4 linked regions of the Pelodiscus sinensis genome follow. The protein of the gene in region 3 binds, or shares a complex with, the protein of the main gene of each other region. Links are inferred from orthologs where the notes say so. Each region holds a gene or a part of one and is shown on either strand. Other genes may lie near its edges. The genes, in order: POLR1H, POLR1C, POLR2F and ERCC3.

Region 1 (7,444 bases), on a different chromosome or scaffold from region 3:
CAATCTTCCTGCATCATTTCTATGACAGACCCAGACCAGCTGGCTGCCGCACTCTAATGGAGGCTAGACATGCTGGGCTCTGGGTGAACAGTTTTCTCTTCCCTGAGTAAATAGGGCTGAGTCTAGTGCAGCTTAATCAGGAAGGCACCTGGGGCCAATTAAGGGCTTACCAGAAGCAGCAAGCAAATCAAGGCACCTGCAACTCATTAAGGCCTGCTGGGGCTTGGTGATAAGGGCCTCCCTGCAGGGAGAGCAGTAGGAGCCCAAGATTTGAGAGAGAGGTGTCTGAGTGAGAGCTGAGGATGGCGAGTAAGGCAGAGTGACAGGGAGGAGTGGGACTGACTAGCTCAGGTGCCAGAGGGAAGGCGCAGGGAGGGACCAGTTGAGGAAGCGGCTCAGGAAAGAAGCTGCCAGATTGGCAGCAGAAGAATATCCTGTCTGTTGTCGCTGCCTTAGGGTCCCTGGGCCGGATCCTGGAGTAGTGGGTGGGCCCGGGTTCCTCCCAACACTCCCCCACGCCACGACAGAGTGGAGAGAGGAGACGGGGACTACAGAGGGGTTTTCACCCCAAACTGTGGACTAGCCAGGACGGCTCAGTAGGCAGCGAGCCCTGCCTCTAGTAAAGAGAGAGGCCGTGTGAAGGGTCCCAGCATGCCTCTGAGGCAAACGCTGTCTGCCAGAAGTGTGGGACCCCTGGGGCATGGTCAGAGCTTTGCCACGTGTGCTCCGGGGCCACGGAGGCTGGAGCCACACGCTGGGTGGGGGAAAGAGAGGCTTGGCTCCCATGGGGATGGGGCCTGGGTAGAAGGGGTGAGACTTTGGGCAGGGCTGGGAGTGGGGCTTGCCTTCCCCAACCCTACCTACACCCACCACCCATGCTGGTATCCACATATCATCTCCTCATCCAATGGCCAATCCAGCAGAACTGTTCAGCAGCCTTACTTCCCTGCGCACAACACCACACGGCTTAAGGACCTCCATGCTAGGAACCTTGTCCCACCAGTTCACGTGGGCCATTGTCCAGAGGCAGTGCAGATGAGTTTCAAAACATGGGGCCCGTCAAGGCACCACATCTGGGTCTCAGTGTCACCTGCCAAGTGTCGTCCTGACTCTTAAGAACATAAGAACGGCCATACTGGGTCAGACCAAAGGTCCACCTTGCCCAGTGAGTAGTACATGGCTTGATAGCTCCATTTACTACTCCAATGTCCTGTCTGCCGACAGTGGCCAATGCCAGGTGCCCCAGAGGGAGTGAACAGAACAGGAAATCATTGAGTGATCCCTCCCCTGTCACCCATTTCCAGCCTCTGACAAACAGAGTCTAGGGACCGCATTCCTACCCATTCCTGGCTAATAGCCATTGACGGACCTAACCTCCATGAATCTATCTAACTCTTTTTTGAACCCTGCTAAAGTCCTGGTCTTCACCACATCCTCTGGCAAGGAGTTCCACAGGTTGACGGTGCGCTGCGTGAAGAAACACTTCCTTTTGTTTGTTTGAAACCTCTTGTCACCTGTGGTAAAACTTCCCTTGATGCTCTGATGCTGAACCGGTCACTGACTTTCCACTAAAAAAGTGGCGAGGAATCCTGTGGCACCTTATAGACTAACTGAAGTGTAGGAGCATAAGTTTTCGTGGGCAAAGACGGATGGGGCAACAAAGGGAAAAAGCATTTGCGGAAAATCATGCCAGTCTAGACGTAGCCTGGGTGTACACAAACATTACAGGCTGTCTTGCCAGGCACAAGCTATTGGGCTAGATGGACCTCTAGGTTGAGCCTGCCTGGGGAAACCTAATACAGTGAAAATGTTGTTATCCGGCACTTTGTTAACCGGCATTGCCCCCAGCCACAATACTGTCACATCTTCAGGCGCACACGCCTGGCTTGGTTTACCATAACTGGCTTCACAATTTTTTTATTAAGAAGTACTAATCATCTTTAACTCACAATAGAAATGTGAGACCAACTGCCTCACACTGCAAAACTACCAACATTAAAAACTTGAGTTTTACTATTGGGGTACGTCTAGACTACAGGCTTTTGTCAACAGAAGTTTTGTCGACAGATACTGTTGACAAAGCTTCTGTCGACAAAGAGCGTCTAGACTACATTCAGTTCTGTCGACAAAGCAAGCTGCTTTGTTGACAAAACCCTGTAGTCTAGACGCAACCCTACAGGCAATAACACCTTCTGTCGACAGAAGTCTGTCGACAAAAGGCGTTATGCCTCGTAAAATGAGGTTTACCAGCGTCAACAGAACTGCTGAGTTCTGTCGATGTTATGTCGACAGAACTCAGTGGTAGTGTAGACGCAAGTATAGTTTTGTCCACAAAAGTCCACTTTTGTCGACAAAACTCTGTAGTCTAGACACACCCTTAGGCTATGTCTAGACTGCAGGCTTCTTTCGAAAGAGGCTCTTTCGAAAGCATCTTTCGAAAGAGCCTCTTTCGAAAGATCGCGTCTAGACTGCAGGCGGATCTTTCGAAAGAGAAATCCGCTTTTTCGAAAGAGAGCACCCAGCGAGTCTGGATGCTCTCTTTCGAAGACGGCCTCTTTACATTGAAGAACGCCTTCCTTCGAAAGAGGAACTTTCGAAGGAAGGCGTTCTTCCTCGTGAAACGAGGTTTACCGCCATCGAAAGAAAAGCCGCGTTCTTTCGAAATAATTTCGAAAGAACGCGGCTTGAGTCTGGACGCAGGGGAAGTTTTTTCGGGAAAAGGCTACTTTTCCCGAAAAAACCCCTGAGTCTGGACACGGCCCTGGTGTCCATTGGTTTTTCCTAGGTTATTGGGACCCTCAGCTAACCGGAATTTTTAGATAATCGGAATGCTCTAATCCCCAAGCGTGCCGGATAACACAGGTTTTACGGTATATGGGCCCTGTTTGCATGCCTGACTTAAACTGGTCCTTGTTCACCATCTGAGAGTGCTCCCGGAGGGGAGAGGGGTCCAGCGGGTTAGAGTAAGGGGGAAACTGGAAGCCAGGACTCATGGGTTCTATCTGGCCCCTCTAGGGCTTTGGGTTCTCTGCTGGTCCCAGATGAGTGCCTGGAGAAGGGGATACAAAGCCCTAGCACCTCTTCTAGCACTGAGTGAACTGCAGATGCTTTGGCCAAGCCTTGCAAGGCCAGCCCTACCACGAGGTGAACGGAAGCGGCTGCCTCAGGTGCCAGACTGGGGGCGGGCACCACTAGGACCCAGACTGTAGAAAATTGTGTCTGCTGCTGGTGAATATGTATTCTCTCTGCTCTAGACGCACAGAGACGGTGGAGTGCTGTGCTGGAGGAAGGAGGGCAAAAGAGAACTTTCAAAGTTTTGGCCCAAGCGAGGGGGCATGGGGGTGTCATTTGAGCTCCCCGCCTCAGGTGCCAAAATGTTGTGGGCCGGCCCTGCAGCCTTGACCCAGGGCCTGTAGACAGACTGAGCCAGGGTCAGCCCTGAGAAGCACTAAGGAAAACTGGGAGCCCGTGGGCCAAGTTAGCACAGAGCAGCAGGGTGGGAGCGAGGGGTAATGGCCAAGCAGGGGGTGTGGACACAGGGGTTGTGGGTCTGGGCTTGGGAGGGCACTGGCAGAGCTGGGGGGAATGAGACTGGGGGACACTGGCTGGGCTGGCAGGGGCTGTGGGTCTGGGCTGGTGGGGCACTGGCAGGGCTTTGGGTCTGGGCTGGGGGCACTGGCAGGGCTGGCAGAGGGTTGTGGGTCTGGGCTGGGGGGCACTGGCAGAGCTGGGGGAGCTCAGGGCTGGGGATTTGGGCTGGGGGGCACTGGATAGGCTGGCAGGGGCTGGAGGGCTGGGCTGGGGGGAACTGGAAGGCAGAGCTGGGAGGAGCCCAGGGCTGGGCTGGAAGGGGGTTGTGAGTCTAGGCTAGGGGGCACTGGCAGGGCTGGGGGGAGTGCAGGGCTGTGGGTCTGGGCTGGGGGGCACTGGCAGGGCTGGGGGGAGTGCAGGGCTGTGGGTCTGGGCTGGGGGGCACTGGCAGGGCTGGGGGGAGTGCAGGGCTGTGGGTCTGGGCTGGGGGGCACTGGCAGGGCTGGGAGGAGTGCAGGGCTGTGGGTCTGGGCTGGGGGGGCACTGGCAGGGCTGGGGGGAGTGCAGGGCTGTGGGTCTGGGCTGGGGGGCACTGGCAGGGCTGGGGGGAGTGCAGGGCTGTGGGTCTGGGCTGGGGGGCACTGGCAGGGCTGGGGGGAGTGCAGGGCTGTGGGTCTGGGCTGGGGGGCACTGGCAGGGCTGGGGGGAGTGCAGGGCTGTGGGTCTGGGCTGGGGGGCACTGGCAGGGCTGGGGGGAGTGCAGGGCTGTGGGTCTGGGCTGGGGGGGCACTGGCAGGGCTGGGCTGGGGGCCAGGAGCGAGGGGCACTAGCAGAGGGGGTGCAGGTGAAAGGAGGGGGAGGGGCTGGCAGCTGTTCCATTCCAGCTGCTGAGCCCCAGCCCCTGGCAGGGGGGACACTCTGCCTCGCCCCGCCCCTTGTCTCCACTCCTCTGGAGGACCAGCCGCTCTGTCCCCCGCCCGGCCGGAGTTGTCTGCTCCGAACGCTGCGACACGTGTGGGGCCGGGGAGCCGCGCAGCGCAGCGGGGAGGTGCGTGGGGGCTGGTTTGGGGGCAGGGACCTGCCCTGTGTCAGGAGGCGCGGGGGGAGGGGGGTTACGTGGTACCACTTCGGGATTAAAGGGGGCAGCGAGGGGGAGAGTTCGTGTGATGGGGTCAGCGTGGGGGGAGGGACAGCGTGGGGGCAATAGGAGCAACGTGGGTTCAAGGGGGAGGGGTGTGGGGGCATTAGGAGCAGCGTGGGGGGGAGGGGAAAGGATGTGGGGGCATTAGGAGCAGCTGGGAGGGGGCTTGTGCAGTATTGGGAGGGGCATGAATTGATGCAGATATGCCCTGCTTTTGGCCTCCTGTGCAAACCCATCCCTCTGTTTTGTGTGTGTGTGTGTGAGAGAGTGTGTGTGTGTGAGAGAGTGTGTGTGTGTGTGTGTGTGTGAGAGAGTGTGTGTGTGTGTGAGAGAGTGTGTGTGAGTGAGAGAGAGTGTGTGAGTGAGAGTGTGTGTGTGAGAGAGTGTGTGTGTGTGTGAGAGAGAGAGAGAGAGTGTGTGTGTGAGAGAGAGTGAGAGAGAGAGAGAGTGTGTGTGTGTGAGTGTGAGAGAGAGAGACCTGGCTGAGTCCTACAACCACCGCTCAGCTAACCTGGGGCTTTTCTCCCAGCCATGGAACAGGACACTTCCTGCTTCCAGTCGGACCTGGATTTCTGCCCCGAGTGTGGCACCATCCTGCCCCTGCCAGGCATCCAGGACAAGGTGACCTGCATGCGGTGCTCCTTCTCCATCAACATACGAGGTGAGGGCGGCACATCCCACATGTGTGCTGGCATTGACCTAAGGGAGGGAAATCCCCCAAGATGGGGAGTGTGGGCTAGTGGGTAGAGCAGGGGGGTGGGGCCTCTGGGAGGGAGTGGGGTCTAGTGCTGGCTGACCAAACAGCGAGTCTATAGAGTGCGTTCGCTCCGCTCTCTGATTCGCCAGTTCCCCAGTAATGCCTGTGGCTCTCCTTGTGCAGATTTTGAAGGAAGGGTGGTCCAGTCGTGTATTGAGGTCAACAGGCTGGGCTCCATGTCTGTGATGATGCTGGATGATGGGCAGGAGGTCAGGGGACCAATGGTGAGTGGGGATTTCTGTAGGAAGGTGGGAAGGAAAACACACATCAATAGTCTAACATCCTGCAGCAGGGAGTCCCACCAATACACTATCACCTGATTTTGACTTCTTTCCCTTTTATGCCAGTGGTGGATTTTATTTTGATTTTTTTTTGTGGGAGGTAGGAGGGAATCTTCATTGTATGGATTTGATTCAACCTTGGGGATCCTTTCAGATTGACAGGAAGTGCCCCCGCTGTGGCCACGATGGCATGGTGTACCACACCCGGCAGATGAGATCTGCGGATGAAGGACAGACCGTCTTCTACACCTGCAGCCAGTGCAAGTAAGGCACTGTCCCTTCCCTATTGATCACGTTAGAAGGGAAGAATGGGAAATTTATCATCAATCGGGAAGGAAACCTAGATCTCAGCTGTCTGTCCTCATCAGTTAAACCAATCTGGAGTGTATCTTGAAAGGCTGCCCCCCTAAAAAACACAAAAACTCCCAGGAAAAAAATTAGCTGCGTATTCTTGCTATACAAGGTGTACAATGTTCTCCTGTAAATTGAGCACGTGGGCAGCCACCCAGAGGAGATTCAAATGCTGCCCCACTGACAAGCAGACTGCCCACAGGTAGATTTGTGTTTCTCTTGGTGATGCACATCTGCACATTCCTCAGTGCATGCAATAAAATTTATTCCACACATTGATGGAAAAAATTAGAGGGAACATGGCACACAGCATGTCCCCAAGCATTTCAGCCAGAAATATCTAGAATGATTTTGCAAGTTACCAAATACGTCACTTAAATCCAGACACACGCCCCCTCCTGTTTGTTCCAATCTCTTAACTTGCTCTATACCTTTCCTTATCCTGGTTGTGGATATTGGCAAGAGACCGCTCTGGCTTGCATCTCGATTTTTCACAGGTTTCCTATCTGCTTATGCCTAATGCTCGTTAAAATCCTGTTTAAAATGTTAACCAGTTAAACTGTGTTTAATCTCCCTTTCCCCCTCCCTTTGCGGCACCGTGCGCCTAGTCAGGAGTGGGGTGCTCTGGATGATCAGTTAATCAGTTACCCCAGTTAGCATTTTAATAGGGGTGGAAGGCACCCCTGGTTAACCGGTTACCCCTTTACACCTCTATTGCAGGGTATTGTGGGAAGTTGCTTAGGTTTTTCCCAGAGTGCTGTTCACTCACACTAAGCCAGACAACACTAGGATGTGGTGTATGCCGACCTAATGGACGTGCGTTGGCCAGCGACAATGGGGATGTGTGTGGGGAAACTGAGATTTACCGATTACACGCATGCGCACACATGGAACCTGGCTCCATGTAAAGTCTTTCAGCTTGTCTACAGTTGAACCGTTGTAGTGTACAAGGTGTACATCAGTGTGTACTGCCTATGCTGCAGCGGGGGGTGGGGCCTCCCCACGGCACAGGTAATCCACCTCTCCGAGAGGCAATAGCAATGTCAGTGGAATAATTCATCCATCAGCCAAGCACTGGCTACACTGAGATTTAGGTAGGCTTAACTATGCTCCGCTGGGGGTGGATTTTTCACACCCTTCGGCGATGTAGCTGGGTCAATCTAATTTTCCAGCGTGGAACAATTCACACAGTCCTGCTGCATTCCTTTGAGTTGCCTTTCTTTAGATCTTAACTACCTGGTCTGCCTGTTGTGTGCTGTAACTCATCAAAGTAAATGGACAAAAGGAGTAAAGTGGGAAGGCGAGTGGCCTCTATATCCCTTACAGAGACCCTCCTGTGGTCACCCCCAAAAAGCAGATTATGGGGGATCTCTATTCCCAGAG
Region 2 (7,253 bases), on a different chromosome or scaffold from region 3:
AAAGTTTTTTTGCTCCACCCCACCCTCTTTGGAGTAAGTCAAACTCTTGCCCTTCACAGATACCATCACCAAAGGAGGATCTAGATCAGGATCCTGTATCTTCTTCATTCCCTGCTTTTACCACTTTCCCTCTCTCTGTTTGCTGGTTCCCTCCCAATAACTGTGTTGTGTAATTGCTAATAATTTGAATGTTACCACTAACTTTAATAGGATTTAGTATTACCCATTATGAGCAGTTGTAGAACATGGCCCTATACCAGAGACATAGATCTGTGCATAGGCTCTTTAATAGCTATTAGCAGCTGGACTATACTTCTCATCCTAGAAATGCAACAATTTCTGTTTTAGCACTGGTGCTCTCTTACACAAACTCATTACATAAACTTCTAGTTTACAGGGTCAAAGACTGTACTACCTGGAGCACACTGAGTTCTGTAGTCCATGGAATATCCTCAGTGCACTTCAAGCCTATTCTCCACCTCACTGAGTTCGGAGATTCTGCCTTCTCTATACTCTTCAGTCACAATCTCACCTTTCCAAAGATCTGGGTCTCACTCCCCCCAACACTCCCAGGAGCTAGTGCCCCAGCTGGCCTGCCTTCAAACTTCTTTACCAGTTAACACAATCTAGCTTCTGGGCAGAGAAAGAGAAGGTTAGGATACATTTTTTGTCTATCGCAAAGATGCTCAACATTAGCCAGGTCTAGCAGTGAGAAAAGACATGACAGGATTTGATGGGACTAGCAACTGGGTCATGCAGCCCTGGCATGAAGATCCGGAAGCCTCTGTGGGTACCTCAGCGAGCAGGATGCGCCGGAAGGCATTAGCAATGGCTGCGTCAATCCCCACCATGTCGAATTCCAGCGTGTTCTCATCCATGTGGATCACGTCCACCCGGAAATTCTGTAGGGCACACGCAAGGGAGCAGTCACCAGGTACCAATTCACGAGGAGGGGCTCAGCCTTGTTGGCTGCTGCCAGGTGCAGAGGGGTATTGAGCAGGTGGCTAATGGCCACCTGCTATGGGGCTGCAGAGGCCAGCCACAGGAGACCCCAATGTCTCTCCCCCCCCAACCCCCGCCGCTTGCAAGGCCTTGGTCCCTCACAGGTTCCCTGCTAAGTTCCCTCTAGGGTGCATGCCTGCACAGGCGTGCACAAAGAATTTGAAGCCCGCCCACCTCTTCATCAGAGCCACTGGAAGGTAAGCTGCTGGCGGTAGGCTCTGTGGGAGACTGGAGGGATAGGGTTGCATGGTGGCTGCCCAGTTGCTCCTGGGATAGGCTGTATGGTGGGTAGCTGCCCTGTGTGCTGGTGCTGGAGCCAGCTCCAGCCCCAGCCCCAGCCCCGGTACACAGGGTAGCTACCAGCGACATAACCCACCTAAGAAGCAGCTGGGCAGCCACCATGCAGCCCTGACCATAGCTCCAGCCCTTCCCCACAGCTGAAGTTGTTGGCCACGGCAGGCCATGTGGCAGCATGGAGGGTGGCTGCTTCAGGGGCTGGGGCCTGCTCCTGACCTTCCCCAGAGCTGGAGTTGTTGCCAGGGCTGTGTAGTGGCTGCCCAGCTGCTTCCTGGGCAAGCCATATTGCAGGGGAAAGGTGGGCTGCTGAAGCTGGAGCCGGGTTGCTGGGCAGCGGTTGTTCCTGAGGCCAAGGCTGGAGCTGGGCTGTGGTGAGGCTGTTCCTGGGGCTGGGGCCCACTTCATCCCTCTTCCCACCCCCACACGTCTCTTCTCCCCTCAGAGTTCCCTACCCCTGCAACCTCCTGCCAGCCCCAGCACCTAATTCCCTGCAAACCCTGGGCACTGGCAGCAGCTTCCCTCAGCCTCAGGCAGGGACTCTCAGCCAGCCTGGGGAAGAGCAGCGAGGGGGCAGAGTCTGCCCTGGGAGCAGAGCTCAGGTCTGCATGCTGGGAGAGTCTCTTGAGAAGTATCACCACTGGTGGGGGATATGGTGACACACATCCGAACAAGTGCACGTGACCTCATTATAGGCACAGAAGACAAAACTCACTTCGCTCATGGAAGGAAAATATCTTAGAGGGAACACTGGTTCCCTGCCCCCTGCCTGCTCAGACCCCCTTTCTTCCCCCCATTAAGGGTCCCCAGTGGCTTCTTACCTGTTCGAACTTGGCTTGGTCCCAAGCGTCGTCATAGCCAGGGTAGTTGCCAGGAAAGTCCGTGGTGTGAACCTGGAGCAGAGGTGGGCAGTAATTTTTGGGGGTGGGCCACTTCATGAATGTTAGTCATGGGCTGGCTCAACCCCCCTCCGCCAGAAGGGGCAGGGCCTGGGGCAAAAGGGGAGACACTGGGGACTCGCCTCTCCCCGGAGTTGTCTGGGGCTGGAGGTTCTGAAGTAAAAACACCGCAAAGGGCTCGGGGCCCCGGCCCTGCTGCTACCACCACGTTGCCCGGCAGCCGCCCGGGCTTGCTGCGGCCATTGGAAAGGCTCGCGGCTCCGGCCCCTGCCGGGCAGTGCTGCGATCGGGAGTCCCGGGCGGCCGCCAGGCAACACGAAGCGGCAGGGCCGGGAGCTGCAGGCCCTTTAAACAGCGGCAACTTCAAGGGCTCCCGACGCTGCTGCTGCATTTGCCCGGCTACCGCATCTATTTAAAGGGCGCGCGGCTCCGGCCCCTGCCGGGGCAGCACCACAGCTCGTGAGCCCTTTGGACAGGAGCCTTCTGCCCGAGCCGCGCCTGGAAACGCGGGGTCAGGGCCACAGGGCGCGACTAGGAAGCGGCCAGACTCCCTCCCTGTCAGGGGGCCGCATCTTGCCAGCCCAGCCCCGAGCTGGAGCGAAGCAGGGGCCGCGTGCCAGGGGCAAACCGCCCCCAACCGCCGCTCACCAAGACCCGGGCGCGCGCCCGGCCCCCTCCTGCCTCGCGCGCGGCCCCCAACTCACTCACGTTGCGGACCCCGAACTCCCCCAGTATCACCCGGCTCCGCATCTCCTCCACGCCGCCGCGCGCCGCCATCTTCCTGGCGCGCCCCCAGCACGTGACACGGCCACAATCCGGCTCTTCTCTGCGCAGTCGCATTAGTGAATACCCACTGCCCTGTCACGTGATACGGACCTTTCCTTCCGCTTTGGCGGCGCCGGCGCCTTAGCCCGACTTGGTCTTCACCATATTGGGTGTGGCGTTGACCTAAGAAACAGCCACTACTGCTATCGCGGGGTTGTGGGTCTTCGCCGCTGGGTTGACGCTGTCTTGATAATAAGGCACCGCTCTCCCCAGACCCTTCTCCCAGAGGCGCCTTCATGCTCGCTCTTATGCCACAACCAAGATGGCGTCGAGACCTGGTCGCTAGTATGAGATCTCGCGAGAGCAAAGGCGCATCCACGTCCTCGGCCGAAGTTGCCGAGGCTTCTGACGTCAGTCACGTCAGTCTCCAGACTAGGCTCCCCGGAGCCCCTGCAGTGAGGCGCAGAGCGGCCGGGGGCCCCGGTGCCCCCAGCCAACGGGGAGGATGTCCGGGCCCGGGGGGGCGGCGGCGGGCGGCGGCAGGCCCGGGAGCGCCGCGGAATGGGGCGGCTTCGAGGACAATATGCAGGTGCGGGGCTGGGCAGGGAGGAGGGGGGAGCCGGGGGGGCCCTGCGGTTGTCAGCGGTGCGGGCCGCTGCTGTGCCCCCCCCCAACACAACACCCCCCCCCCGGCTCTGCGCTTCCCCGGCTTGGGAGCTAGGGTGGCGCCTGCCCTGCTGCGGGCGCCGCGGCGCTGGGACGGGCGCTCCCCGGCCCTGGCGCTGAGCCTGACTCCCCGACCCTTTGCCCTGGGGCGCAGGGAGGCGGCTCCGCTGTGATCGACATGGAGAACATGGACGACACGTCTGGCTCCAGCTTCGAGGACATGGGCGAGATGCACCAGCGCATGAAGGAGGAGGAGGAGGTGGATGCAGAAGCTGCTGCGGCAGACGAGGAGGATGGAGAGTTCCTGGGCATGAAGGGTTTTAAGGGACAGCTGGGCCGGCAAGTAGCTGACCAGGTGAGCAGAGCGCTGCAAGAGATGGGGGGCGGGCTGTGTTGCCTTCTTGTGTCTGGCTCTGACTGTAGTGAGCTATAGATGTTGAGTCCCATTTTAGGTCCAGGTAGCCATTTCCAATATGACCCTGAGCTATCTCACCTTTGGTTTCTGGGTGCTACAGCTTGAGTCCCATTCTGGGCTTGATGTCTTTTGTCCTACTTTCCCCTAGGCTTTGGATGGGATGCTGATCACTCCAAAGATGTTTAATTTTCATTCTGGTTATTTAGCCACTGGATGCTTTGGTTCCAGGAGATGCGCCTCAGAACGGCATTGCAAAGGGAATGTTTAGTCTGCTACAGTTACTGATTTCTCTCCCCAGATGTGGCAGGCAGGTAAGAGACAAGCGTCGAAGGCCTTCAATCTCTATGCCAACATTGATATTCTCAGACCTTACTTTGATGTGGAGCCCATCCAGGTTCGCAACAGGTGAGCAAACTAAGCACAGGGGCAAATGACTTAGGCCATGCAGTTATCTCAGTCTCGCATCCTCGTATGAGCAGCCCGGTCCACTACTATGGCCCCTTCATGGGGTACTGTGAAAGGCCTGTCATGTATTCCTGGTCCAGTATAACGGGGTAGAGATGCAACCTGAACAGGACAGAAGGGTCATGCCATAAAGTGAGGAGCATCTCCCACTGTTTCTCACATAATAAAGACCTGGATAGCTCCTAACTAATCCACGTCTGCTTATGGACTTGCTATGGAGATAGCCTTTGGGGGAAATTTGTCCAGGATCCTCCCTTGTTTACCCTTCATTATTCCTAAAGGGCTACCCTCAGTTCATCCTGAGATGCATGTTGTTTCATGTATAGCCTAGTGCTGCCATTCTAAGTGTAAGATACAGGGTTTGTGGAGCTGAACCAGCAGCTCCTTTAGCCTTTCATTGTTACTGCTCTTGCATACAGTGTGGGGAAAGGGCATACATAGCCCTACAAAACCTCATCTGTCCCACAAGTGCAACACTTTGCACATCTCCTTTATAATAGCCATGGTGTCACCCTGCTCTCGGGACACCAGGCAGAGAAAACTGTTTGTGCACAGGGGGATAGGATTGCAATACAAATCCTCTTCCCCTCTAAGGCACTGTTTCCAGTCTGGTGCCTGGCTGTTAGTGGGACTGGCTGGCTTTGTTGAGGGTCAGAGGGGAAGAGATATGGAGCTTTGTATCACTGATCAGGGAATGGAATACAGCATCTCCTGCTTCTTGGGTTTCTTGTTAACTTTTTCATTTCCTTCCTCACTCTTGATATTTCTGTGAGGTGCAGACTGCTGGAATCCATGATCCCCATGAAGATGATTAATTTTCCCCAGGTGAGTTCCACTGTGGAGAGCTTTTATTCTATATCCTGAGTAAATGCGCTTTAGAAAGTACAGGAGCACTTAATCGGTTGTTAAATATTTCTAACACACACATCTCTCTATCAGTAGGCTGCACACCTTTGCCTGAGGGGAGTTCAGAAATTCCAACCAGCACCAAGGGGACAATCGGGCCCTGCCCTCTACTCACATTCACCTCCAAGTTCAATGCTCTCTGAAACTGTCAGTTTGCTAAGGAATAAGCCTGTCAGCAAAGTGCTGCTGACACAGTGCTACAGACAGCTCTTGCTCACTTTGTCAAGAAGTGAATTACAGCTGTCTTGGGCCTGAAAGCAGGCTACCCTGGGCTCTGACTCAGACTCCTTTCATTTTGCCTTCCATTCTTTCTCTGCCCCCCTCTCCCAGAGTAGGGAATTAGTTAAAGCACTTTGCCATGCATGTGCCAGGGTGACTGATTATGTATGAATTGTGTGAGAGAGATGTTGTTGTATGGTGCCTCTGCTAGATTTTCTGGTTAATTCCCACTGTACCACACCCCGTCTGTACCTGTCTCTTGCAGTGGGACAAGCATGACTTTAGCTCCTGATCTGACTCAATAACTCTGTTAAGCTTCTTCCTCAAGTCTTACTTATGTGATTGTTTCTCTTTGGTAGCTATCACCAGCCTTTTGTATAATTGCTCAGGTCAGCAAGTGACCAGAGTATGAGCTAAGTCTGGGGTACTTCCCAGGTAATCTGAATGTGGTCTGGCTTTCTGCAGCACTAACCAAACCCCTCTCTTCTCTGTCACCCTTGTAGAAGATTGCAGGTGAGCTCTACGGCCCCCTTATGCTGGTCTTCACATTGGTGGCTATCCTGTTGCATGGGATGAAGACTTCAGACACTATAATTGTAAGGGAATATTTCAGTTTCAAATCAGGTTGGCACCAGGCTTTGAACTGCTGTCAGTTACATGGGGTGCTTCTATTTTGAGTGTGACTTAGAAATGCATTGGTGACAGGAACCTTGATGTGTGATAGGGCCTATTCTGGGGCTGTCTGGGAAGTGGGAAAAAGCCTATTGCAGTGGATGAACTAGCGTAGGGTGTAGTGCAGCTGGAGCATTCCAGAGATGCACCCCTGCATCAGAAATCCAGGACTGGATGGTGAGGATTGGGAGGAGCCACCCTAGCTTGGGACAGGAACAGGATGCTGTACTGGGGGTTACCAGGGAGTGGCTAGAAAGGTACCAGGGTGAGTTGTGAGTGGGATTGAGAGTGATGGAGCTGTGGAGGGGGCAGTATATTGAGGTGAGTGGGGGGCTAGGGGGGCTAAGGTGTTGGGCACTGCTGGGAGTGGGATGTGTGTGAGGGCTGTCAGGATAAGTTGGAGCTGGATGGAAAATCATTGTCAAGCTGGTCTGATCAGCCAGTTAAATTAGTTTTATGGGGCAGCACTACAAATATAGCTGGAACATACCTGTAAGCACTGCTTTTATTTAAAACTTGTAAAGATTATTGTGTGTCACCTTTGGGCTTTTTTACTGACTAAATGTGAGTTTTGGATGTACTTTGCTATTTATCTTTTATAAGCCAAACTTAAACTGAGTTATGCATGTTTTATGTTATGATACCTGTATTTATTACTGAAGTCTCATCTACTGATAGAGAAAACGTTAGGACATGGAGGCTTTCTGTGGTGATGTCACACAAGATCATCCCTAAAATCTGTCACGTGACAGAATTACCTACTTGAGGTCACTTCTGCAGGCCTCTTGTGCTATACAGTTTAGCACTGTATCACTGATCCTCCCTCTCTGGATGCTGCTAGGCAGGCATTAGCTAAACATTTGCCAAAGGCAAGGGGGAATCTGCTGGCGAGGGGGTAGCGATTGGCTTGTATCTGTTCTGTGAGATGTCTTCTCTGTCCTTTTCTTCAC
Region 3 (7,395 bases):
TAGTAGGCTGCAGAGACTCAAGTTTCCATTTCCATTTTGCAGATGTCATACAGAACCTCACCTCGCAGGGCAGGTGGAGAATCCACAAAGCTATGGAAGATCACGAATAGTAAGAAAGTAATTTAAACACGGAAAAAACATTTTGAAATGCCATGAGATGCCTATGCCAAGGCTGGGGGTGGAACAAGTGTACTTACGCTATCTGGAGCGCACGAGTGCCCAGGACTCTGGCTCTCTCATATTTGGTCATATATGGAGTCGTGATCCGCTTCTGATTTGCCTGTTGTCTCTCTCCAGATGGAAGGATTTCTACATTCTCTTGACCCTCCTGAAGAAATAAAGGAATATAAGCTATTGTAAGCATACTGAAGGAGCTGGGCGTCCTTAATAGATTTTCTCAGACTTTGGAATCAAAGTTTAAAAAGTCTACACAGAATTCCAAAAAAGTACTTTGAGTAAAGAACAACCAAACATCCAATTGGGAAGTGCATTTATCTGATTAATATTAGGTTACCAAGACCTGGATTCTATTCCCATTCCTAGTGTCTCACTCTGTAGAGTGCAATGCGATCAAGATCATAGAATCACAGAGTTAGAAGGGACCACCAGCGTCATTTAGTCTAACCCCTGATAAGATGCAGGATTTGTTGTATCTAAACCAGGAGTGGAAGACCTTTTTAGGGTTGAGGGCCGCTGACCCACGTTCCCCTTGCACACCAGAGTCTATGGGGTTCCAGGCTAGATTTTGGAGCATCAGCGAGGGCTCCCCAATGCTGGGGGAGAGCCCTGGGCTTTGGGGGCCAGATCCAGGCAACCTGGAGGCCACATCCAACCCTGGGGCCTTAGGTCCCCTACCCCTGTTCTAAACCATCCAAGACTGACAGTTACGCCCAGTGATGGAGCTTCCACAACCTCCCCAGTCAGTCTGTTCTATTGCCCTGCTGTTCTTACTGTTTGGAAGTTTTTCCTTAATCTAAATCTGCTATACTGTACTGTGAACCCACTGCCTCTGGTCCTTTCCTCTGTGGAAGAAAGAACAACTTTTCTCCATATTTTTTATGGCAGACAAGTGCTCTAAGAGCCCGCACCCTGCAGTGCCATCATAGGGACAACTGCCATTCCCAGTAACTAGCTCCCAGCAGGACAGGAACTCAGAGTGGTTTGGGGAAAATGAAAATGCTGTATAAAAAAGGAGGCATTGTGAACCATACAGGGGCTAAGCAGAGAGCTGTTGGGGAGGAAGGGTTTGAGCACTAACCTCCTCTGCATTCTCCAAATCATCCAGCCCTTCATCTTCCTCCACATCATCAAAGTCATCACCATCAAAGCTGCAGGTGACAGAAGGTCACTTTTCACTCTACAGCCAGAGCCCAACCTACTTGCTGCCGCCACCCAAGGTATGTCTAGACTACAGGCTTTTGTTGGCAGAAGTTTTGTTGACAGATGCTGTCAACAAAGAGGGCAGGTCTAGACTACACGCCTCTGGCAACAGAGGCATGTAGATTAGGCTACCCGGCATAGGAAGATGAAGCGGTGATTAAATAATCGCCACTTCATTTACATTTAAATGGCTGCCACGCTGAGCTGATCAGCTGTTTGTCGGCCCAGTGTGGTAGTCTGGACGCTCACGGTCGACATCAAAGGCATTTGTTGACCTCCCAGGTAAACCTCATCCCATGAGGCATACCTGGGAGGTCGACAAATGCCTTTGATGTCGAGCGCGGAGTGTCCAGACTACCGCACTGAGCCGACAAACAGCTGATCAGCTCAGCGTGGCAGCCATTTAAATTTAAATGAAGTGGCGATTATTTAATCACCGCTTCATCTTCCTATGCCGGGTAGCCTAATCTAGATGCCTCTGTCGCCAGAGGCGTGTAGTCTAGACGTACCCAGAGCGTCTAGACTACATCCAGTTCTGTCAACAAAGCAAACCTCTTTGTCGACATGACAGTGTAGACGCAAAGGACAGCGTAGCTGCAATAACGCCTTCTGTCGACAGAACTCTGTTGACAAAAGGCCTTATTCCTCGTAGAATGGGGTTTACAGCCACCGACAAAACTGCTGAGTTCGACAAACGTTACGTGGCCAGAACTCAGCAGCAGCACAGACGCAGGTAGAGTTTTGTCGACAAAACCCCCTAGCCTAGACACCCCCACTGTGGAGATTCCAATGCAGCCTTGCTGCCTCCCCACCCCCGCGGCCCGCTGCTCCTCCCCTGCAGGGCTCCACGCCCCCCCCCCTCCCGGCCCGCTGCCCCTCCCCCGCAGGGCTCCACGCCCCCCCCCTCCCGGCCCGCTGCCCCTCCCCTGCAGGGCTCCACGCCCCCCCCCCCTCCCGGCCCGCTGCCCCTCCCCTGCAGGGCTCCACGCCCCCCCCCCCCCTCCCGGCCCGCTGCCCCTCCCCTGCAGGGCTCCACGCCCCCCCCCCTCCCGGCCCGCTGCCCCTCCCCTGCAGGGCTCCACGCCCCCCCCCCCTCCCGGCCCGCTGCCCCTCCCCTGCAGGGCTCCACGCCCCCCCCCTCCCGGCCCGCTGCCCCTCCCCTGCAGGGCTCCACGCCCCCCCCCCCTCCCGGCCCGCTGCCCCTCCCCTGCAGGGCTCCACGCCCCCCCCCCCCTCCCGGCCCGCTGCCCCTCCCCTGCAGGGCTCCACGCCCCCCCCCCCCTCCCGGCCCGCTGCCCCTCCCCTGCAGGGCTCCACGCCCCCCCCCTCCCGGCCCGCTGCCCCTCCCCCCGCTTTGTCACGCGCCGCCCCGGAATCCCCTTCCACCCCATTTCCCTGGGCCGCCTCCTGCCCGGCCGGGACCCGCCTGCGGCCTGGCCCTTCACCGCCGGGGCCGGACCCGCCTCCCCAGCCACGGCGCCTCCTTCTCACTTGTCCTCGTTGTCAGACATGCTTCCGGCCCGGCGCGAGACTCTCGCGACACCAACCGCAGACCCGCCAGGTGACGACGGAGCAGGCAACCCACGAGAGCGGCCGATGAGCTCTCCGAGCAGCGACTTCCGGGGTCAGGGATAGCGGAAGCGGAAGCGGGTGGCGGAGCGGATCTCCATGGCAACGGGAGGCGCTAATTCGGGTGAGTAGGCTGAAGCGACTGAATCGCTGCGAACTCCCGAATCTCCGCGCTTCCGGGTTGGGCCCAGGCCGCCCGCCAATCAGGGACCAGCACGGGTTTCCATGGAGACTGGAAGATGACGTTGGCGCCTCATTCTAACCATCAGTTGCATCACAGCTTCGTGTGTGACGTCACCGTATTATAGGCGTCCTCTCCCATTGGGCGCTGGGTGGCGAGACCCCCGTGAAGGGGGCATTACACTGCCAGGCGCTGACTCTGCCTGGGCACCCCCTCTGTGGGAGAGGGCCTGTGCCCCTAACAGCCTGGCACCCTTGGGCGTGAGTGGGGCCATGACGAGGCATCCTCACAGGGAGGTCCTGGGCCTGGCCTTGTTGGGTTAGTGTGTTGCTGCATTGCATCGCTCTGGGGGGCCTGGGCATCATCCTACTGCATTACGCAATGGGCTGGGTAGGTGTTGTTTCATGGCATTGCATCATAGGTGACTCACGGTAGCAGTCATGGGGTGCTCCTGTCAAAATTGTAATTGCTAAATGGGGTGCCCCCCATACCCGCTCTCTGTTCCTCTGGGAGGCCCTCCTTGCAACCCCTCCCCCGACTGGCACCAGTCATCTATGTCAGTGGTTTTCACACTTTTTTTGTCATGAACCAGTTGAAGAAAATTGTTGATGCCTGCGACCCAGCATAGTTTGAGTACGGTATGGCCTCCAGGGTGGCACTGAGGATGAGCGCTTTGGGGTATAGGAGGCGGCCCAGGCTTTGGGGGTGGGTCAGGGCTGGAGCAGGAGAGGCTTACTTTGAGCTCCTTTCAGTTAGCAGTACAGTGGGGGTGCCAAACCAAGCTTCCTGCCTCTCATGGAACCACAGACCATGCCATGCCACAGAAGCAGCCAGCAGCAGGTTCCCAGCCAGTGGGAGTGCGGAGCTAGTGCTCAGGGCAGGGGCAATTCACAGAGCCCTGTGTGCCCTCCCGCCACCCATCCCCCACGTAGGAGCCAGGCCTGCTGCCGGCTGCTTCTGGGGCACAGTGCAATCTGCAGTGGAGGAGCAAGGGCAGGCCTTAGCTCCTCCACTGATCACCTGATCCCCCTGCAGCAAGACCCAGTGCCTGATATTCTATGACCCAGTACTGAGTCACAACTCATAGTTTGAAAACTGTTCTGTGGCAATGCAGTGTGGGGGTGGTAGGACAGCTTCCTGTTGCATTGTGCCAAGGTGTGAGGAGTATCCCACTGGGGCACTGCACTGTGTGTGGAGCAGGGTATCTTCTCTATGTAACTGGATAGTGATGTCATCTGTGGTATCACAGATGTGAAATAAACTTACATTGCTGCACCCCATGGGGAGGGAGAAGGATATTTCCCCATCAGCCTGTGGTGATGAGTTGACTAGTGGGAAAGTACATTGGTGCATCTAGACTAGCAAGATTTTGCGCAGAAACTTGCCAGCTGTCTACACTGGCCGTGTGAATTTGCGCAAGAGCACTGACTTTGTAATGTACAAAATCAGTGCTTCTTGCGCAAATACTTTCACGCTCCTGCTCAGGAAAGAGCCCTCTTGCGCAAGAATACTTGCACAAGAGGGCCAGTGTAGACAGGGAAGAACTGTTTTGCACAAAAAAGCCCCGATGGCTAAAATGGCAATCGGGGCTTTCTTGCGCAAAATCACATCTAGACTGGCCACGGATGCTTTTGCGCAAAAGCACTTTTTGCACAAAAGCATCTGTACCAATCTAGATGTGCTTTTGCGGAAATACTTTTAATGGAAAAACTTTTCTGTTAGAAGTATTTCCGCAAAATCATGCCAGTCTAGACGCAGCCCATGTGTTTGTATGTGTGACAGTGCTAAGGTCCTTGAAGATTACAGCCCAAATCAGCATAAATTAAGATATATATGGCAGGAGTGGGGAACCTTTTTTGGGTCAGGGGCCAATGACCCACAGAAAAATAAGTCAAGGACCAACACACAAGTGAGAAGCCAACTCCCCCCCCCCCCCCCAACTGATGTGGCCCTCAATTGAGCAGCAGAAAAAATTTACACTTCCTTCACTCATGCAACTCAGGGCACCAGGGTTCCTCTCAAACTCCAGCCCTGTGGAAGGGGCAAGGCTCAGGGCTCTCCCCCAGGACTGGATTAACTCTTCTGGGGGTCTGGGGCTAGTAGATTTTGTGGGGGCCCCTAGGCTTTGAGGTGGGGCTAAAAATGAGGGGATTATTGTGCAGGAGACGCCTGCTAGGGAGTAGGGTGGGGTGCAGGGTCTGGGTACGTGGTAGTGTGCAGAGGCAAGTGGGGGTATGGAGTCTGGGCAGGAAGTAGGGTGCTGGAGCAGGTTGAGGACAGGCATCAAATCTGTTATTCCCTCTGAAGAGGAAGTGTCATGTTCTGAGATCAAGCATGTAAATGTGTTGAGCTCATGCATCCCAGTGTATGGCTTCACTGCAAAGAAAGGTGTAATTGCAGTGCGGGTAAGCATACCCACACTAGCTTTAATTGACCTTACAGGGTAACCATAACAGTGAAAATATGGTGGCATGGGCTGCAGTGCAGGCTAACAATCCTAGCACTAATTGGCTGCAGGGAACCCTTGGTATATGCTTGGATTGCAAACCATGCTAAAATCCATGCTCCCACAGCTTCACTACCATTGTTGCCTGCTCTCAGTAGATTAAAACTTGTCTGGGTATGTCTATCTGTGCTAAAATTACAGCACATTAATTTGTGTTGTCAAGGTATTCCAGTCTACGTAGTGGTTAATATGACTGGTACGTTCCTGGGGTTTACCACCTTTCTTAATTTGAAGTAATTTTGTCATCACAACAGAGGAAAATAAAAAGAGGGCATGGGAGATTCCCTCAGTAACTTTTCAGGGGTCAAGGCTTCAATAGATTAGCTATATCTAAGTAAGTATTAAGGTTGACTTTGAATTAATAGAGACTGAGTAATGGGATTCTAGAATGATCGAGGGCCATGAACAGAGAATGTTCTTTTGAGTTGACTCATTAGAAGTTGAATATGATTTACTGACTCCTGGCCTCACTGTCATTTACAGGGCTTCACAATGTCTTCCCAGGAGGGAAGAAGAAAAGTGCCAGCTGTCCCAAAAGGAGCCGGTTTCTGGCATTCTCCTGGGATAACTCAGTATGGACAAGAAACAAAAGAGCTGTTGAAAGGTAAAAGGAAGATTGAATGGAGAACAGTGAACAGGTCTTTGACACACACCTCCTTAAATTTGTATCATGCTTCCCGCTTCACTGGATCATTGTTCCATTTATAGCAGCAGTTTGCACATTTTAAAAAACAATCCAAAAAACTCTACTGCTCACACAATTCCCCTCCTCCTCCACCTGTGAAGAAGATGAAAGAGAGAATGAACCACATCTAACAGATGTTAGTCACATCATTTGATGCACTACTGGAAGGTGCCCAGGTACTACAGTGATTAGGATGGTAAAAGAACTTACCTAGAATAGAAAAAACATTAGTAACTCATGTTGCTCCTGATGCTTGGAATGCGCTTCCTAAATCCATTCTCTCCTTCTTCCTTACCTCATTCACTAACTCCTAAAGACTCCTGCAGCACCCAGGCCTGCTGACAAGGAGGGCAAAGAGAGCAACTGCCCCCAGGGCCTGGCAATTCCAAAGGGCCCAGGGCTCACAGCAGTGATGGTGGCCAGAGTCCTGCACAGCACTCTCTTGATAGCTCTGAGGGCTGGTGGGATGGAGGGGTGGCACAGTCTATATACTGCTAAGGACTGGCTGATGCCAGCCCTGCCCTTTCTGGAGCGCCTGACACACACCTTGCCTAGAGGCCCGGCAAGTCTTTCTGCCCCCTTGGCAGTATCCTTTCCCCCATATATACAGTTCAGTGGTTTAGAATGTGTATCTGCCTAAACTGACTGAAAGTATTATTCTATTACCATAACCCATGCCATTCATCACCCTTCCCTTTCTTGCTCTCTGATACATTCTTACATCTCCTATCCAGTATTTAGTATATAAGCTTTTCAGGACAGGAACCTGTCTTGTATATATTTCCTATAAAGTGCCTATCTTATCCAATCTATCTGTCTCTCTGGATTTTTACATGATACTCAAGCACACTTAGGGGTGTTACAACATACTAAATAACAACCTAGTTCTGTATCCCTCCTCCAACTGTAACCAAAGTAGATAACATAAAATCCCTTTGTTGTACTAATTCCACATGACTATGCCACATGGGTAATGCCATCCTGATCCCCTAATTGATGATCAGCTAAAGGATTAGGCTCCATAGCTTGTTTAACTAGTTCCCTTGCTAGACAGAGTTACTGCAAATGCTGTTC
Region 4 (7,842 bases), on a different chromosome or scaffold from region 3:
TTTGCATACATAATTCCTTCCATTTTGTTTTGGGAAAAAAAATTTATAATAGTTCAGGGTACATTTCTAATTGAGTTAAACTGTCCTTTTGTTGTCCTGTCTCTTTTGGTAGTGCCTTTTTATCTCTATGCCTTAATTTTGTTTAGGTAGAGACACCATATTTAAATCATATGGCTGTCTAATCGTTTAGTGCCACCAAAATAGTCTTTACAAATATATACGAGGCTTCAAAACAGAACTCACTAATTGCATCAACAGTTTTACTTTAACTGTAGCAGGCTTTTAGGCTGAGAATTTACTACAGTGTTAAAATGATAAAAATACTTAGCACCTACAGTGCTCTCTCTGTTCAGAGTACTGTACAAACATTCCAGCAAAGAGGTTAATGTTATCCCCATTTTACAGATTGGAAAACTGAGACAGGATAGCTATCTTGCCCAAGAACTATAATAAAAAGGAAGTTGTTTTGCTTAAAAAGGTACAGCAGTATTTTCTATCTTAACAAATGAGAAAATAGTTCAACTGAGCTACCTTTGTTTGAACTGATATTGTTTTCTGCTTTTAAATAATCCTAATCCTGCCATTGTCTTGAATGAAAGCTTTCCTGGGAGAAGCAGAAGGTACACAGTGCAGTGTAGTAAGCCATTCCTTCAGGCAACATTGAGCAATGTCAAACTACAGCTTCAGAGACTTAAACAAATTGGTCAGATCTACAGTTGTGTAGAACTAAGTTTGTTAGCTTTTTAATCTTCTAGTTCTTTAAACTATTATCATGAATATAAAAAAGTATATATTGTGTGGTTGAATGCAAATCCATATGGTGTTTTTTGGATTAGCAAAGGTGTTACTGCCAATACCATTTCTTACCCCCTGGGAACTTCCTATCTTGTATTCATGACAAGTATGCAGTGTCAAATCATGTTAAAAAAAAAAAAAAAAAAAAAAAAAAACCCAAAGCTTTTCTATCCCCTCTCCAAAAGCCAAAAGTGATGTTTCATAGATTAGTACTGTTACTCACCCTTATCTACCAGAAAGCTATTGCTAAATAGACTAAACCAGGTACTAGTAAAAGTGAGATCCAGCAATGCCCATTTTTTAAGATAGATTTGGATGCTTGTTGTTGTTGCTTTGAGGTGCAAAATTCATTCCAGCATTAAAATGAAAAGCTTTGAACTCTACACAGTCTTATTGACATCACTAACATAATGCAAAATTTGGTGACTAAATTTCTTTCCTATGATTTACTCCTTATAACCAAGTTTGAGTTGGGGGGAATTTAAGGAAAGCCATGAAGTAAAGTAGATTTGTAATCTGAACTGCTTGTCGTGCCATAGCAAACAACTTCTCAGAGGTTGTTGGGGGAAGTAGTCCTTTTAATTTAAGAGCCAAATTTCACCCCCTAGAAACATGGGACTTACACTGCCCTAAGGGGAGAGCCATGAATGTACACTGGAGGGAGCAGAATTTTCCTACCCAAGATAAGATTTCTAAGTCAAACTCTGGATCAGGAACAAAGAGTACTCTGTTTGGTTTGTGTGTTAAATTTTCTCTGACATTACTTCAGTATCTTTTTTGGATCATACTTTACGTTCTACCATTAGCAGTACCTTGGCAAAAATTGGTAGCAACAAAAGGTGTAGTTCAGTTGAGCTCTCATGTACTGAAAGGACAAAATTCAGTGAGCTCATTTTGACTAGCTCTTTTAAAAGGAGAGAAAAGACTGGATAAAAATTAGTGAATTTTTGACCTGATCACTCAGTCATGTTGGTGGAACTCCTGCTAGTAAGGATTGCAAGACCAGACTTCTTGTGTGGAGAAGAGAAGAAAAAAATGTGGGTTTATACTGAATGTAACATGGGGAATATTTCAGAAAGTTTGGCATCTTTTTTCCCTGTAATAGATCTTCTCTTCCTCCATCCCCTGAGAATATAAACGTGGATATAAAAACAAGCATTACATTTTTTTCCTGTCAGTTTTACAATAGTTAGCTTACTACTGGTCTAAATCTGTCATTCATTTTAAAATGTAAATGATTTATTAAAACTTAATGTCTGCCATCTCAGATGTCACACAGTTCATTTAATGGAATATCATTGTAAATAAATGTTGGAGACTTAGATAAATTTGAAAGTAGGCTTTTTAATTTTCACAATGCTATGAATAAATGTGTAAATTTGCCCTTTTAATCTAATGTACATTTTTTATGTAGCTGTTAAATTCTCTATATTTAATCTATCAGTTTCTCTCTGTAAATGTTTTTACTCTCAGTTGAATGCTGGGCACAGTTTGTAATGTATGTACACAAAGGTGTTTTTTTCTATCAATGTTGACTTTTTTGCACATTTTTTGAAAAAGTTTAATTAGTACACTGATTTAATACTCTGACCAATTGATGGGTGTATGAGAATCACGTATGTGTGCAATGTACTACTGTCTGGATGTGTTTTTTATTCCTTTTGAGATGTTGCTATCAGTAACTGCACTGCTGCTGTTGCTGCTTTAAATGGAATATCTTATGTAAAAGTGTATTAGCCTATGGTTATATCTTGGTTGAGGAACTCAGGAGTTGAGCATTACTTACTAGTTCCATAATGTATCTAGCAACTTTCCAAACTTTAAAGTGTACTTGTAATTCTGCGTATGAACTGAATGTGTGTGTGCGTACACATAAATATGTTCCAGCAGTCTTATTCCACAGTTTAATTTCTACATTTTTATGAACTTGTTTTTAAGGGTACTATGTTTAGTTAGAATAATTAAATATATAAAAGCTTTGAGAGATAATTTACTAGATAAATATATTTTCAGCTGGCTGATGTTCAGAAAATATTTTTTTAATTTTGTTTTTAATCATTCAAAATGTATTTGTATTTCCAAAATTGGACATGAATTGTACTTAGAAGTATATTAAAGCACTCTGGAGGGACAACAGTGTGATTTCTCTAAGAATTTTGTTAAAAAAACAAACCCAAAATGCTTAGTGTCAGTGATACAGAGAAAATAACTGTTGTGAAAAGGGGAAAGCAATCTTTGACTTCTCAAAGCTACTTGAAAAAATGTGTGAAAACAAAATGAACCTTGGAAAAGTCAGATTTTTTCCATCTCTTGTCCTTTCTGTTGCATGTAATGTTAATGCTTCTCTTTCTTTACCCTTTTCCCTTTCCAGTTTTCTGGTATTGGAAAAGATAAGCATGTTACTATATCGCTGATTGACTGGCACATAAGAAGTTCAGAACATGCTTTAAAAATGTGGCTTACTCCTTTCAAGAATACCAGTCAAACTTTTGACTTCCAATTTGTTTAACATTTTTGTGGCTTAAAAAATAAAAATCCTGTATGATGTTTAAAGTGATACCAAGTAAAAATTCTCATGCTAGGTACACAGTGCACTGCTGAATGTCTCTAATTCCATAGTTTAGGAAAAGAGCCAGTATACTCTGTTAGACACAGGACCTACTAATTGCCTGGTACGTGTGGTTTCTTCCACTTTTCATGCACATTTTGACTTTGTTACATTCTCAAAATTGTGCTTGTAAAAATGTATAAACTTTTTTGATTTTTTTTTTTTACTTTTGTATGTATTTACCTGTTTTTTTTTCTTGCTGGTAAATGGCTTTTATTTTGTTTGGGGTTTTTTTTGTATCTGATGTTAAAAGAAGCCATGTTTATATTTTGTGTTTGATCAATGACTTTGTTTATATGAAATTTGTATATTACTGGTACACATCTTTGTTTAGGTTGATCATGCATGAGAACCTGCAAGAATTAGCACAATGAAAGATTGCTTTTTCTTCCAAATTTTTATTCATTTTTGAAAGGTTATGGTGCAGAGGTTTACAGGATGTAACCTTATGAACTATGGAACAACTATAGATAATGGCACTTTGAGTGTTAATAAAATATTTATTTCCAGTTTATATTTCTCTTGATTTGTCTCCAAGACAGCAAATATATGTATTCACATATTACATTTGCTTGCAACACTAGACAAGTAACATATCTTCTAAGTAAAGCAAAATATAACATGCAAGTAATGGTACCAAAAGCATCTGTCTACACCCAAGCTAGAAAGTTTAAATCTACAACAGTCCTCTTTTATAGATGTGAAAAACCCTCCCTCATGCTGTAAAACAAATGCCTCTGATTTTTTGTTACACAAAAATTCACCCTGCCCCCCTGCTCTTGTGCAAGATTTACAGTAGGGCAGCAGAAGACAGGGCTTCTTGTGCAAGAGCTATGCTCTTTTCGGACAAGTGTAAGCCTTCTTGCCTAAGAGGGCAGTGTGGACGTATGGCAAGGGTTTCTTCTGCAAGAAAGCCCTACAGCTAAAATAGCTGTCAGAGCTTTCTTGCACAAGAGCTCGTCCACACTGCCATGTGCAAAGCTAGACCTGTTCTTGTGCAAGAACCTACCAGTGTAGATGCAGCTGAAGTGTTAAAATACCTGTTTTTATGACTTAAATCGAAGAACCATGGCCCTGATTGGGCAATTTTTTATGCATAGTCACACTACTAGCTGTGTAGGAAGCTCCGCTGAAATGGGCGGGGCTGCAGCAACCTGCCCCTGGCTCCAGCGGCGGGATTAGCATCTGCTACCCGCATTGGACGTTTCTGATTGGACCCATCGTTATTGCGAAAACGCGGAGGGGCGGGACCCGCTCCCCCAGGTGTTTATGACGTGGGAAGGGGGGGCGGGGCCTACCCCCTAGGTGTCTATGACGAGGGGCGGGGCCCACTCCCCCGGGTGTCTGTGACGGGGGAAGGGGCGGGGCTCGGCCGAGCTGGGAGGGGCGGGGCGCCAAGGGGGCCGGTCGCGCGCTGGCCGTTAGAGCGCGGGAACGGCGGCGGCGCGCGCCTGAGCCCGCCCGCCGCGGCGCTGGAGCTGGCCCCTCCCCCCCCCCGCGGTGGCCGTTGGCCCGGCCGGCGGGCGGGGCCCCGCTCCGCGCAGGTGGAGTGTCAGGCCGGTACCGCCGCTGCGATTGGGCGGGTGACGAGGGAGGGCTACACGGGATGGGCGTTGCTAGGTGACAAGCTGGGCGGGTCCCCGTGCCGGAAGTGACGCGCAGGGCAGGCGCCGGGCCCAGCGGTGGTCGCGCGGCTGGGCAGTGACGGGCCCGGGACGATGGGCAAGCGCGAGCGAGGTGAGAACCCCCCCCCCCCCCGGGGCGCCGGGCCGAGCGGCGGTACCTGGACCCCCCCCCCCAGCGGCCTGGGCCTCCGGACCTGAGCCTGTCGGGGGGTGGGGGTGTGTCGGGTGTGGGGGGGGGTGTCTGGGGTGTGTGTCGGGTGGGGGTGTGTCGGGTGGGGGGGGGGTGTCTGGGGTGTGTGTCGGGTGGGGGTGTGTCGGGGTGTGGGGGGGGTGTCGGGGTGTGTGTCGGGTGGGGGTGTGTCGGGTGTGGGGGGGGTGTCGGGGTGTGTGTCGGGTGGGGGTGTGTCGGGTGTGGGGGGGTGTCTGGGGTGTGTGTCGGGTGGGGGTGTGTCGGGGTGTGGGGGGGGTGTCGGGGTGTGTGTCGGGTGGGGGTGTGTCGGGTGTGGGGGGGGTGTCGGGGTGTGTGTCGGGTGGGGGTGTGTCGGGTGTGGGGGGGGTGTCGGGGTGTGTGTCGGGTGGGGGTGTGTCGGGTGTGGGGGGGGTGTCGGGGTGTGTGTCGGGTGGGGGTGTGTCGGGTGTGGGGGGGGTGTCTGGGGTGTGTGTCGGGTGGGGGTGTGTCGGGTGTGGGGGGGGTGTCGGGGTGTGTGTCGGGTGGGGGTGTGTCGGGTGTGGGGGGGGTGTCGGGGTGTGTGTCGGGTGGGGGTGTGTCGGGTGTCGGGGTGTGTGTCGGGTGGGGGTGTGTCGGGTGTGGGGGGGGTGTCGGGGTGTGTGTCGGGTGGGGGTGTGTCGGGTGTGGGGGGGGTGTCGGGGTGTGTGTCGGGTGGGGGTGTGTCGGGTGTGGGGGGGGTGTCGGGGTGTGTGTCGGGTGGGGGTGTGTCGGGTGTGGGGGGGTGTCGGGGTGGGTGTCGGGTGGGGGTGTGTCGGGTGTGGGGGGGGTGTCGGGGTGTGTGTCGGGTGGGGGTGTGTCGGGTGTCGGGGTGGGTGTGTCGGGTGTGGGGGGTGTGTGTCAGGGTGTGTGGGGGGGTGTGGGTGGGTGTCGGCGGGGGTGGGGGTGGATGTGGGTGTCTGGGGTGTGTGTGGGTGGGTGCGTGTGTCTGGGGGCGCCTCTGTGCGTTTCTGTGCATGCGCCTGCCTCTGGGTGCCTGTAGCTTTCTTCGCTAGGTCAGTATCCGAGGAGGAGCCCTGCTCCTGGATCAGCAGAAGCGGCGAGGAGTCCTGTGGCACCTTATAGACTAACCGCAGTGTTGGAGCATAAGCTTTCGTGTGCAAAGACTCACTTCGTCAGATGCATGCAGTGGAAATTCCCAGAGGCAGGTATAAACATGCAGGCCAGAATCAGGCTGGAGATGACGAGGTGGATCCAATCAGGGAGGATGAGGCCCGCTTCTAGTAACTGATGTGGAGGTGTGAATACCAAGGCTGTGTCCGGACTCAGGGTTTTTTTTTTTTTTAAAAGTAGCCTTTTTTCGAAAAAACTTCACCTGCGTCTAGACTGCAGCTGCGTTCTTTCGAAATTAAATCGAAAGAACGCGACTTTTCTTTCGACAGCGGTAAACCTAATTCCACGAGGAAGAACGCCTTTTTTCGAAAGTGCTCTTTCGAAAAAAGGCGTTCTTGAAAGCAAACAGGGCTTTTTAGAAAGAGAGCATCCAGACTCACTCGCTGTTGTCTTTCGAAAAAGCGGCTTGCTTTTTCGAAAGTTCCGCGTGCAGTCTAGACGCTCTCTTTCAACAGAGGCTTTTTCGAAAGTATCTTTCGAAAAAAGCCTCTTTCGAAAGAGGCTTGCAGTCTAGACATAGCCCAAGAGAGGAGAAGCTGCTTTTGATAGGATTAGGATGACAAAAGCAGCTTCTCCTCTCTTGGTATTCACACCTCCAGATCAGCAACTAGAAGTGGGCCTCATCCTCCCTCATTGGATCCACCTCTTCTGGCCTGCATATTTATACCTGCCTCTGGGAATTTCCACTGCATGCATATGACCAAGTGGGTCTTGCCCATGAACACTTAGGCTCCAACACTTCGGTTAGTAGATAAGGTGCCACAGGACTCCTTGCCACTTTTGATAAGATAAGGAGTCTTGTGGATAAGGGAGAAGCAGTGGATGTGGTATACCTAGACTTTAGTAAGGCGTTTGATACGGTCTCACATGATATTCTTATCAACTAGGTAAATACAACTTAGATGGGGTTACTATAAGGTGGGTTCATAACTGGCTGGATAACCGTACTCAGAGAATAGTTATTAATGGTTCACAATCCTGCTGGAAAGGTATAACAAGTGGGGTTCCCCAGCAGTCTGTTCTGGGACCAGCTCTGTTCAATATCTTCATCAACAATTTAGATATTGGCATAGAAAGTACGCTTATTAAGTTTGCAGATGATACTTAGCTGGGAGGGGTTGCAACTAATCTGGAGGATGTGGTCATAATTCAAAATGATCTAGACAAATTGGAGAAATGGTCTGAGGTAAACAGGATGAAGTTTAATAAAGACAAATGCAAAGTGCTTCACTTAGAAAGGAACAATCCGTTTCACACATACAGAATGGGAAGCGACTGTCTAGGAAGGTGTACAGCAGAAAGGGATCTAGGGTTCTAGTGGACCACTAGTTGAATGAGAGTCAGCAGTGTGATGCTGTTGCAAAAAAAGCCGACATGATTCTGGGATGCATGAACAGGTGTGTTGTGAGCAAGACATGAGAAGTTATTCTTCCGCTCTACTCTGAGCTTGTAGGTAGGCCTCAGTTGGAGTATTG

Evidence for each region.
Region 1: POLR2F (region 3) and POLR1H share a complex: the UniProt entries of both Homo sapiens proteins name them as parts of the pol I pre-initiation complex. The link is inferred for Pelodiscus sinensis from reciprocal best matches to the Homo sapiens genes POLR2F and POLR1H.
Region 2: POLR2F (region 3) and POLR1C share a complex: the UniProt entries of both Homo sapiens proteins name them as parts of the pol I pre-initiation complex. The link is inferred for Pelodiscus sinensis from reciprocal best matches to the Homo sapiens genes POLR2F and POLR1C.
Region 4: POLR2F (region 3) and ERCC3 share a complex: the UniProt entries of both Homo sapiens proteins name them as parts of the TBP-based Pol II pre-initiation complex. The link is inferred for Pelodiscus sinensis from reciprocal best matches to the Homo sapiens genes POLR2F and ERCC3.

Annotation. Positions count from the first base shown.
Region 1 is NC_134742.1:11,063,687-11,071,130, forward strand, and holds the start of POLR1H (DNA-directed RNA polymerase I subunit RPA12), read left to right. Parts: upstream 1-4,431; 5' UTR 4,432-4,579; intron 4,580-5,201; 5' UTR 5,202-5,203; coding exon 5,204-5,333; intron 5,334-5,552; coding exon 5,553-5,653; intron 5,654-5,864; coding exon 5,865-5,974; intron 5,975-7,444. UniProt on the Homo sapiens protein: Core component of RNA polymerase I (Pol I), a DNA-dependent RNA polymerase which synthesizes ribosomal RNA precursors using the four ribonucleoside triphosphates as substrates. Can mediate Pol I proofreading of the nascent RNA transcript.
Region 2 is NC_134713.1:139,251,533-139,258,785, reverse strand, and holds the start of POLR1C (DNA-directed RNA polymerases I and III subunit RPAC1), read right to left. Parts: upstream 3,005-7,253; 5' UTR 2,973-3,004; coding exon 2,904-2,972; exon of another isoform or gene 2,900-2,903; intron 2,190-2,899; coding exon 2,118-2,189; intron 903-2,117; coding exon 795-902; intron 1-794. Other genes in the region: protein YIPF3, read left to right, coding at 3,466-3,549, 3,781-3,981, 4,340-4,446, 5,286-5,331, 6,135-6,227. UniProt on the Homo sapiens protein: DNA-dependent RNA polymerase catalyzes the transcription of DNA into RNA using the four ribonucleoside triphosphates as substrates.
Region 3 is NC_134711.1:92,139,044-92,146,438, forward strand, and holds the start of POLR2F (DNA-directed RNA polymerases I, II, and III subunit RPABC2), read right to left. Parts: upstream 3,006-7,395; 5' UTR 2,892-3,005; coding exon 2,872-2,891; intron 1,329-2,871; coding exon 1,259-1,328; intron 329-1,258; coding exon 198-328; intron 1-197. Other genes in the region: C1H22orf23 (UPF0193 protein EVG1), read left to right, coding at 3,512-3,520, 6,120-6,240. UniProt on the Homo sapiens protein: DNA-dependent RNA polymerase catalyzes the transcription of DNA into RNA using the four ribonucleoside triphosphates as substrates.
Region 4 is NC_134717.1:3,276,384-3,284,225, forward strand, and holds the start of ERCC3 (general transcription and DNA repair factor IIH helicase/translocase subunit XPB), read left to right. Parts: upstream 1-4,825; 5' UTR 4,826-5,121; coding exon 5,122-5,140; intron 5,141-7,842. UniProt on the Homo sapiens protein: ATP-dependent 3'-5' DNA helicase/translocase. Binds dsDNA rather than ssDNA, unzipping it in a translocase rather than classical helicase activity. Component of the general transcription and DNA repair factor IIH (TFIIH) core complex.